Saccharomyces cerevisiae S288C: one gene and its partner. The protein of the gene in region 1 binds, or shares a complex with, the protein of each later gene. Each region holds a gene or a part of one and is shown in the gene's direction. Other genes may lie near its edges. The genes, in order: SSN3 and SRB8.

Region 1 (4,331 bases):
GAACAATTACGCCGTGTTGATCAATATACCTTGTATAAGATAAACGAACTGCTGGAAACGACGAGAGAACACTACCAAAAGTACAACTTTTCCAAGGTTCTCATTACTCTACAATATCATTTAAATAACGAGCTATCGGCGTTTTATTTTGATATCTCAAAGGATATTTTATATTCCAACCAAATATCGTCATTGGCAAGAAGGCAGGTCCAAACAACGCTTGTCCATATACTAAATGCATATAGGGCAATTCTTGCACCAATATTACCCGTTATGGTCCAAGAAGTATGGAAGTATATACCAGAAGGATGGTTACAAGGACAAGAACATATAGACATTAATCCGATGCGTGGAAAATGGCCGTTTTTGGACTCAAATACGGAAATCGTCACCTCCTTTGAAAACTTTGAACTAAAAATTCTAAAACAGTTCCAGGAGGAATTCAAGAGGTTAAGTCTAGAAGAAGGTGTCACCAAAACAACACATAGTCACGTTACCATTTTCACCAAGCATCACCTCCCATTCAGTTCTGACGAGCTTTGCGACATATTGCAATCATCTGCTGTTGATATATTGCAAATGGACGATAATAATAACAGTCTACCAACTATTGAATTGGGAAGCGGAATAAACGTTCAAATATTGGTTGAACGAAGCAAAAGGCACAACTGTCCCAGATGTTGGAAGGCCAACTCAGCCGAAGAGGATAAATTGTGTGACAGATGTAAAGAAGCTGTGGATCATCTCATGTCTTGAATGACATGTACCTTTCCTGTATATAAAGAATGCCAATTATTGGCTCTTAGAAAATAAAAACCCTCTTGTACTTATTAGTGGGTACCTAACAGGTCCCCTACTGACATTTTGATGCAGGGCCTCGGCCTATTGTTCTTACCAGCTCTCAGCGCGTTATACGAACAGGAAGCAAAGAAGAGAAATGTAAAAATATTGCTTTTGAGAGACCGTGTAAGGATAAGTGTTACACCCAAGGCACCCTCACCAGGAACATGACTGTCATGAATCTTTTCTTCAGGCCCTGTCAACTGCAGATGGGCTCTGGACCGTTGGAGCTCATGCTTAAAAGGCCAACGCAATTGACCACGTTTATGAACACCAGGCCCGGCGGATCAACCCAAATTAGATTCATATCGGGAAATTTAGATCCAGTGAAAAGAAGGGAGGATAGACTACGTAAAATATTTTCCAAGTCACGACTTTTAACAAGGTTAAACAAGAATCCTAAATTTTCACACTATTTCGACCGCCTCAGTGAGGCCGGCACGGTTCCAACACTTACATCATTCTTCATCTTGCATGAGGTAACTGCCATACTACCACTGTTTCTACTATGGTGGTTACTTTATAACCTCGATCTTTCTGATGATTTTAAGCTCCCAAACTTCTTAAATGGCCTAATGGATAGCTGTCATACAGCTATGGAGAAATTTGTTGGTAAGAGATATCAGGAATGCCTCAACAAAAACAAGTTGATTTTATCTGGCACAGTAGCCTACGTTACAGTAAAATTACTATATCCGGTACGCATTTTCATTAGTATCTGGGGAGCACCATATTTTGGGAAATGGTTGCTTCTTCCCTTTCAAAAATTAAAGCACCTTATTAAGAAATAAAGCTTTTTTTTCCTTTTTTTTTTCTGGCCCAGAGACGGATTATTGTTTTCAGTTGAAGTTGCGCACTCGGCATATGATTTATAGATTCCCAATATATTGTACTTCGTTATATATGTGTTACGAATATTTTTGATTTCGTTTTAGAGAGTTTTGATTAGAGGAAATTATAGCTTTTTTTAACAGTGAAATAAATATCATACATCAAAAGTCTTCAAGAATTACGTGGTGTGGCTTAAGTTGCGTTTCATTTTCCCGCTTCAATACTTGAAAGTTATCCCACAATCACTGCTGACAAAAAGGATACAAGAAAGGTTTATAGGAAAGAAAAAAGGCGGAAGGGTATACTGAAGTTAGTAATTTTGCTTCCCAATTGAATTAAGGCCGCCTAGTTTTGACGGGAGGAGAGAGAAATGTATAATGGCAAGGATAGAGCACAAAACTCCTATCAGCCAATGTACCAAAGGCCTATGCAGGTACAAGGACAACAGCAAGCTCAATCGTTCGTTGGAAAGAAAAACACAATCGGAAGTGTGCATGGAAAAGCCCCGATGCTAATGGCCAATAATGATGTTTTTACTATTGGACCTTATAGGGCAAGAAAAGATAGAATGCGGGTATCTGTCTTAGAAAAGTACGAAGTTATTGGCTACATTGCTGCGGGCACATATGGTAAAGTTTACAAAGCGAAAAGACAAATCAACTCCGGTACCAATTCCGCTAATGGTTCTAGTCTGAATGGTACCAATGCGAAAATTCCGCAGTTTGACAGCACGCAACCAAAATCAAGCTCTTCAATGGACATGCAGGCAAATACAAACGCATTAAGAAGAAACTTGTTAAAGGATGAAGGAGTGACCCCCGGAAGAATACGAACTACGAGGGAAGATGTATCCCCGCACTATAATTCCCAAAAACAAACCCTCATTAAAAAACCGCTGACGGTATTTTATGCCATTAAAAAGTTCAAGACAGAGAAGGATGGCGTCGAACAATTGCATTATACGGGAATATCTCAGAGTGCCTGTAGAGAAATGGCATTATGTCGAGAATTGCACAACAAGCATTTAACCACATTAGTGGAAATTTTTTTGGAAAGGAAATGTGTCCATATGGTATACGAATATGCGGAGCATGATCTGCTACAAATTATCCACTTCCATTCCCATCCCGAAAAAAGGATGATACCACCAAGAATGGTTCGGTCTATTATGTGGCAGCTTTTAGACGGCGTATCGTATCTTCATCAAAATTGGGTGCTTCATCGAGATTTGAAACCCGCAAATATAATGGTGACCATAGATGGATGTGTTAAAATTGGTGATTTAGGTTTGGCCAGAAAATTTCATAATATGCTGCAAACCCTCTATACTGGGGATAAAGTGGTTGTCACTATATGGTACCGTGCACCTGAGTTGCTATTGGGAGCACGGCACTATACCCCTGCGGTTGATTTATGGTCCGTTGGCTGCATTTTTGCAGAACTGATAGGATTACAGCCCATATTTAAAGGTGAAGAAGCTAAACTAGACTCTAAAAAGACTGTTCCATTTCAAGTGAATCAACTACAGAGAATTTTGGAAGTTCTTGGCACTCCCGATCAAAAAATTTGGCCTTATTTGGAGAAGTATCCAGAATATGATCAAATTACGAAGTTTCCAAAGTATAGGGATAACCTTGCTACATGGTATCATTCCGCGGGAGGAAGGGACAAGCATGCTTTAAGCTTACTTTACCACTTGTTAAATTATGATCCAATTAAAAGAATAGATGCATTTAATGCGTTGGAACATAAGTACTTCACAGAAAGTGATATTCCTGTTAGTGAAAATGTATTTGAAGGTCTAACTTACAAATACCCGGCAAGAAGAATTCACACGAACGATAATGACATCATGAATCTTGGATCAAGAACGAAAAACAATACACAAGCTTCAGGAATCACCGCAGGTGCCGCTGCAAATGCGTTAGGTGGGCTTGGTGTTAACCGTAGAATTCTGGCCGCGGCAGCAGCAGCCGCTGCTGCGGTGTCAGGAAACAATGCATCAGATGAGCCATCTCGAAAGAAAAACAGAAGATAGGCTTCTATTTTTATATATATTTGGAATTTTTCATTCCACAGCACTGTCACTATTATATTCATTAAACTTTTTTTTATCTTTATAGTATTTAAATCGGCATACAGTTTCAATTTTTCGCTTTAGAGGCACTAAGAATGCAAGTCTGCAACATTCAGGTAAAATAATGGGTTGATTTTAGGTCGAGCTAAAACCCTGTTCTCCGCAGATGTATGCGAATTTCGTCATAATTCATCTCAACTAATGGGGCTTTAAAACATATGAATATCTCATGCATTCCCAAAAAAGAAGAAAGAAAAGACTTCAAGTACCCCCCTTAATTTTTATATAATGGTAGTAGTAGGTTTGTTCGTAACTTATCGGCAATAGTAATATGTTCCCATTATAACACATCTGTTAATGGTATTCAGGTTAATAACCATAGCAAAAAATATAAACAACTTTGTACATTTTCCATAAAAAAGAATGACTTTACGAAAACATTGGATGAAACAACCAGTTCATCCCGTTCAAAGTCTAAACTACGTATAAAGTAGAGTTATCATCGGTTAACAAAGTACATTGTGTAGTATGTAGAAGGGCTGAAACCATCAAGAAAAGGAGGGACACGCTCATACAAAGGAGA
Region 2 (6,610 bases), on another chromosome or scaffold:
GGAATGCTTATGCGTATTGCAAGCCGTCGCAAAATGTTGGGCTGAAGCTGGACTTGTTACGGGGTCTTCCAGGGTACGTGGGTCACGCCACGAGTAGGATCAACCGGTTAGAGAACCAGGACAATTACTCCATTAAAATGATGCGGTCGTGGCCTAATGCGTATGGAAGTGCCCTGAACTGCTCTGTATTCGATGGCCATGGGGAGAAAGGTGCGCAACTGTCACAGTTGTTAGCCGATAAATTGTGCAGTAGCCTGGATTTCCCTGAACCCTCCTGGGACAAGCAGGACTTGAAGAAGTTGGTACAGGAATATGCAAGAAGGTTTCCCGAGGGAAATTACTGGAAACATAAGCTGTCCACGTTTGAAAAATTCTACAACAAGTTTATAAAGAACTGCAACTCGAAACAAGAACTGCTGCTGATGAAGGAGGGCGATAGTGCGATCCTTGGACAAAATGGTGGCAGGATGATTTTTGATAAAATGGGGAATATTATTGACAAAATTGCACTGCTCACTGAGCTAGACCGTCTGCGATTGTTCTACGGGTTTGCCAGGTTCGATCTCGACCAATGCTGCGGCCTGGGCACCGCAGCGGGGTCCACAGCGTCGTCCATATTTCTATATCCGTATGATGATCCGAATGCACCCATTGATGAGGGGAAAGACGATGACTCGTGGATCATATCGCACTCTGGATTGCTCAAACTCATTGTCACGCAGGTGGGCGACTCTAAGATCATCCTCTGCGATCAAGACGGGATTGCACACGCATTAACAACAACTCACCACATCAATTCCAGTAGGGAACGACACCGTTTGAGCATAGACCCTTCTCGATTGGACCCAGACGCCTTTGGAGAGACAAGGTTTTTGAATAATTTCGCCAACACTAGATCGTTTGGTGATGTCGCTGGGAAACCGTATGGTATATCTAGTGAGCCGGATATTTTCTCGTTTCTTGTCGGAAATACCTTGCATTTGCCGCGATCTGAAAGGTCGAAGCTGCCCTTCAATGGTGATGAATGCTTCCTGGCGCTTGTCACCGACGGCATCACCAATAAACTTGCAGACCAAGAGGTTGTTGACCTCATCACCTCTACGGTGAACTCCTGGGGACTGAAAAAGGCGACTCCTCAATTTGTTGCAGAGGAGACAATCAAATTTATTCAGGCAATAGCCACTAAACACTCAGACAACGCCACTTGCGTGGTGGTTAGGCTTTCCAATTGGGGCAACTGGCCCAATGTTGACAGAACTGGCCCCCAAAGAGAAACCAAACTAATGAATGCACAATCTAACGAAACAAAATTAAACTAAACACCCCCCTGGGTGGAAACAAGTCCTAGATAATCATCTTTTGTATTTTTTTTCTTCCTTTTATTAGTATGTATACATATATATTACTTTTTATATTCTTTATAGCGCATTTTAAACACCTTTCTGAAAAAATGCTGAGATTTTTGATGCTAATCGAAAGATTAAAAAAAGGTCTATAGAGGTAAGCCAATAACGCGATGAATAACGGTTCTGGTCGATACTTGCTGACTCCCCCAGATGATCTTCACCCCTATGTGCCAAGCTCGAAACCTCAGGAACAAGTATACCCTGATTTCAAGCCTTGGGAGCACACTGCAGCAGAAGATCAAATCCTAGCAAACTTTGTGGCTAAGGGCTTTTACCATACACCAATGGTAAATTTCGAGTCCATATCTGCGAGATCATCTGTTCATGAATCATTAGTCACTCAATCCAACATTCTTTCCCAGCAATTCGACAAAATTATCAAGATTAGAGAAGACCACATTAATAAGATCCCCTCAAATTCCACGACGACATTACACGGGCCTGGTTTTCAGTTGCCTAATAGAATAACCCTTACTGATCATAGAAAGGAAACGTGGTTGCATGAATTGAGTTCGTCTCACACTTCGCTGGTCAAAATTGGCAAGTTTATACCTCACGGCTTGAAAAGAAGGCAAGTCATCGAGCAGTGCTATTTAAAATTTATACCATTGAAAAGGGCGATTTGGTTGATAAAGTGCTGCTATTTTATCGAATGGAAATCGAACCACAAAAAGAAGAGGTCAAATGCTGCTGGGGCAGATGATGCCATTTCCATGCACCTGCTAAAGGACTGGACGGATACCTTTGTATACATCCTGGAAAAGCTCATCTTTGATATGACAAATCACTATAACGATTCTCAACAACTGCGTACGTGGAAGAGGCAGATTTCTTATTTTTTAAAACTTTTGGGGAATTGCTACTCACTAAGATTGATCAATAAGGAAATCTTTCATCATTGGCTTGTAGAGTTTATAAATAAGATGGAAAACTTCGAATTTTTGCCATTATCTTTACATATTTTGATGATTTTTTGGAACGACATCTGCCAAATTGATACAAATGCTCCTGTTGCGGCTACAATAACATCAAGTCAAAAAGAGCCCTTCTTTCTGGTAACAAAAATCACTGATATGCTATTGCACAAATATTATATTGTTTCCAGCAGCAAATCAATGATAAATGACGAGAACTACATCATCAATGATATAAAGAAAAACAACAAGATAAAGTTGAATATTCTCAAAATATTATCCAGTTTAATTTTGAAAATTTTTCAAGAACAATCTTTAGAGGTGTTTATATTTCCCACATCTAACTGGGAAATTTACAAGCCCTTACTTTTTGAAATAGTCTCAAACGCCGACACTAATCAAAATTCTGATATGAAGAAAAAATTAGAGTTAATTAGTTACAGAAACGAGTCATTGAAGAATAATTCTTCTATACGAAACGTAATAATGTCTGCCAGCAACGCAAATGACTTTCAATTAACTATCGTCACCTGTAAACAATTTCCAAAACTATCATGCATTCAATTAAATTGTATAGATACTCAGTTCACCAAGCTACTGGACGATAACCCTACAGAATTCGATTGGCCCACTTACGTTGACCAAAATCCCCTTACAATGCATAAAATTATTCAATTAATTCTCTGGTCCATACATCCATCAAGGCAATTTGATCACTATGAATCTAATCAACTGGTAGCGAAATTATTACTATTGCGAATAAATTCAACAGATGAGGATTTGCACGAATTCCAGATAGAAGATGCCATTTGGTCATTGGTTTTCCAATTAGCCAAAAATTTTTCGGCCCAAAAGAGGGTGGTATCATATATGATGCCTTCTTTGTATCGCCTGCTTAATATACTAATTACTTATGGCATCATTAAGGTCCCTACGTATATCAGAAAGCTAATCAGTTCCGGCCTACTTTATCTCCAAGATTCCAATGATAAGTTTGTGCATGTCCAGCTGTTAATTAACTTGAAAATTTCACCGTTGATGAAAAGTCAATACAATATGGTATTGAGGAACGTTATGGAATATGACGTTAAATTTTATGAAATTTTTAATTTCGACCAACTCGTGGAAATCACAGAACAAATCAAAATGCGAATACTCTCCAATGATATAACTAATTTGCAACTGTCGAAAACTCCTCTGAGCATTAAAATCATGGTTGCAGAATGGTACTTATCACATTTATGTTCCGGTATTTTATCTAGTGTTAACCGCACAGTGTTGCTAAAAATATTCAAGATTTTTTGTATCGATCTGGAGGTTTTCCACCACTTTTTTAAGTGGATCGAGTTTATTGTCTACCATCAATTGCTAAGTGATATAGAATCTCTGGAGGCATTGATGGACATCTTGCTATGCTACCAAAAATTGTTCTCACAATTCATTAATGACCATATTCTTTTTACGAAGACGTTCATATTCATTTACAAGAAAGTTTTGAAAGAAAAAGACGTGCCTGCTTATAATGTGACTTCATTTATGCCATTCTGGAAATTTTTTATGAAAAACTTCCCTTTTGTTTTAAAGGTGGATAACGATTTAAGGATTGAGTTACAATCTGTTTACAATGATGAGAAATTGAAAACTGAGAAGCTGAAGAATGATAAATCAGAAGTCTTGAAGGTGTATTCCATGATCAATAATTCAAACCAAGCTGTTGGACAGACTTGGAATTTTCCCGAGGTGTTTCAAGTAAACATCAGGTTTCTACTACACAACTCCGAGATCATTGATACAAATACAAGCAAACAGTTCCAGAAAGCACGAAACAATGTCATGCTTTTGATTGCCACTAACTTGAAGGAGTACAATAAATTTATGTCCATTTTCTTGAAAAGGAAAGACTTTACTAACAAAAATTTAATTCAATTGATCTCTCTAAAACTTCTAACTTTTGAAGTGACGCAGAATGTGTTGGGGCTCGAGTATATTATTCGATTATTACCAATAAACTTGGAAAATAATGACGGCTCATATGGTCTGTTTTTGAAGTATCATAAAGAACAATTCATAAAGTCAAATTTTGAGAAAATTTTACTTACATGTTATGAATTAGAAAAAAAATATCATGGCAACGAATGTGAAATAAATTATTATGAGATCCTATTGAAAATTTTAATAACTTATGGGTCATCTCCCAAATTACTTGCAACATCTACAAAAATCATTATGTTGTTATTGAATGATAGCGTGGAAAACTCATCTAATATTTTGGAGGATATTTTGTACTACTCAACTTGTCCGTCGGAAACCGATCTTAACGATATTCCATTGGGTAGTGGACAACCAGACAATGACACTGTTGTAACCAACGATGATAAAAGTGACGATGATGATCACACAGTCGACGAAATTGATCATGTAGAATATTACGTTATGATGGACTTTGCCAATCTTTGGGTTTTCCAAGCGTTTACCTGTTTCTGCATCAAAAAAATCATGGAGAATAATGAGCCAGCAATGGCAATGGAAGACTTGAAGAACTTCATATTCCAAATTATCGAAATAACTAATTCTAATGATTTATGTTCACAAATATTTGACCAACTGAAGGATATGCAGACCATTGAGATGATAACCCAAATAGTGGAGAAAGATTTCTGCACTTCTTGTTTGCAAAACAACAACCAAAAGATAGATGATAATTACATCGTTGTGGTGATCGAGATTATAACGTCATTATCGATGAGGTTTCAAAGAGAAACTTCTGGTATGATAGTTATTTCCATGGAGAACTATCATTTACTAATAAAGATCATAAGACAATTAAGTGAACTGAACGAAGGAAATTTATCTAAGAGAGAAATCCAAATAGATGCCGTCTTGAAAATTTTTAGCTTTCATCAGGATTCCATTTTCCAACGCATCATCGCTGATTTATCAGCTGATAAACCCACAAGTCCATTCATTGATAGCATATGCAAGCTGTTTGATAAAATATCATTTAATTTAAGATTGAAGCTGTTCTTGTACGAAATTTTGTCTTCATTGAAATCATTCGCCATCTATTCATCCACAATTGATGCCCCAGCATTCCACACAAGCGGTAAGGTCGAACTACCGAAGAAATTGCTGAACTTACCACCATTCCAAGTGTCCTCTTTCGTTAAGGAAACAAAACTTCATAGTGGCGACTACGGGGAAGAAGAAGATGCAGACCAAGAAGAATCGTTTAGTTTAAATTTAGGAATCGGCATAGTTGAAATAGCGCACGAAAACGAACAGAAATGGCTCATTTATGACAAGAAAGATCATAAATATGTCTGCACATTTTCCATGGAGCCGTACCACTTCATCTCCAACTATAATACCAAGTACACAGATGACATGGCTACAGGCAGTAATGATACGACTGCGTTTAACGATTCCTGTGTAAACCTGAGTCTTTTTGATGCTCGGTTTGAGAGGAAAAATCCACATTGATCTCAGAATATATCCAAATGGATAAATTATAAATTTACCAATAACAGTAATTATGTGTCAGTTTTAATACCCAACCAATTGATTCCTCTAAATGATACCGTACCAAATGACATGTTTGCCACCGATTATAAAACTGGGGTTTATGAGCGATGGTTAAGGAGGATTAAGACAAAGTGCTCATCCGCTTACAAGATCAGTACTAGCGTGTACCAGTCTATTTAAACTGGAATGATCACCCCAAAGGGAACGCACGATGCTGTGGCCAAGTTTCAAAAAACTGACCTGCATCAAGATCTCGATTACATCGTACTGCAACAACGAAGAACACAGCTAGAGACGCTTATTAACGAAAGAGAATCTTTTGTCAAGAATCTGTGTTCTCTTTTCCACAAAATTCAAAATACCAAGAATTACCAGGAATTTGTTGATGTATTGGCGGAGAATAGGGATTTACTGCGAGAAATTTTCACTGTAGAGAACGGATTTCAAAAGCAAAAATGGATTAGCAACGACGACATTCCCCAGATAGACTGGGACAAGTTTGCCCTAGATATCAACGCTTATATAGCAGAGAACGATCAATTGTTGGCTTTGTATGAAGATGGCTTATTATGATCAAATAGCGGCTATGGACATTTTTAAACATATATTTATATATATATACATATATGCGTATATTGCATAAATCACAAAGAAGAACAACGCCCTAGATATAGTGACCCAAAATATTATGTTTAAGTTACTGGTTGGGGTTCATGTACATTTTTCACTATCTTTTAATTCCAAATGTGGATTGTGCTTCTGCAGATT

What was found.
Region 2: the proteins of SSN3 (region 1) and SRB8 are in contact, whole or in part, in a cryo-EM structure (PDB 7KPV), measured with the Saccharomyces cerevisiae proteins. Residues at the interface, in NP_015283.1 of Saccharomyces cerevisiae: Asn216 (codon at 2,687), Trp268 (codon at 2,843), Asp272 (codon at 2,855), Ser275 (codon at 2,864), Tyr276 (codon at 2,867), His278 (codon at 2,873), Gln279 (codon at 2,876), Asn280 (codon at 2,879), Trp281 (codon at 2,882), Phe311 (codon at 2,972), His312 (codon at 2,975), Asn313 (codon at 2,978), Met314 (codon at 2,981), Leu315 (codon at 2,984), Thr317 (codon at 2,990), Ala339 (codon at 3,056), Arg340 (codon at 3,059), His341 (codon at 3,062), Thr343 (codon at 3,068), Pro344 (codon at 3,071), Tyr402 (codon at 3,245), Lys405 (codon at 3,254), Tyr406 (codon at 3,257), Pro407 (codon at 3,260), Pro448 (codon at 3,383), Ile449 (codon at 3,386), Asp453 (codon at 3,398), Phe455 (codon at 3,404), Leu458 (codon at 3,413), Val470 (codon at 3,449); in NP_010004.1 of Saccharomyces cerevisiae: Gly4 (codon at 1,526), Ser5 (codon at 1,529), Gly6 (codon at 1,532), Tyr8 (codon at 1,538), Leu9 (codon at 1,541), Leu10 (codon at 1,544), Thr11 (codon at 1,547), Lys34 (codon at 1,616), Pro35 (codon at 1,619), Trp36 (codon at 1,622), Glu37 (codon at 1,625), His38 (codon at 1,628), Glu42 (codon at 1,640), Asp43 (codon at 1,643), Ile45 (codon at 1,649), Leu46 (codon at 1,652), Ala47 (codon at 1,655), Phe49 (codon at 1,661), Val50 (codon at 1,664), Ala51 (codon at 1,667), Lys52 (codon at 1,670), Gly53 (codon at 1,673), Phe54 (codon at 1,676), Tyr55 (codon at 1,679), His56 (codon at 1,682).

What each region holds. Positions count from the first base shown.
Region 1 is NC_001148.4:472,418-476,748, reverse strand, and holds SSN3 (cyclin-dependent serine/threonine protein kinase SSN3), read left to right. Parts: upstream 1-2,041; coding exon 2,042-3,709; downstream 3,710-4,331. Other genes in the region: isoleucine--tRNA ligase ISM1, read left to right, coding at 1-756; MRX11 (Mrx11p), read left to right, coding at 1,008-1,631. UniProt on the Saccharomyces cerevisiae protein: Component of the SRB8-11 complex. The SRB8-11 complex is a regulatory module of the Mediator complex which is itself involved in regulation of basal and activated RNA polymerase II-dependent transcription.
Region 2 is NC_001135.5:252,855-259,464, forward strand, and holds SRB8 (Srb8p), read left to right. Parts: upstream 1-1,516; coding exon 1,517-5,800; downstream 5,801-6,610. Other genes in the region: type 2C protein phosphatase PTC6, read left to right, coding at 1-1,319; AHC2 (Ahc2p), read left to right, coding at 6,029-6,415.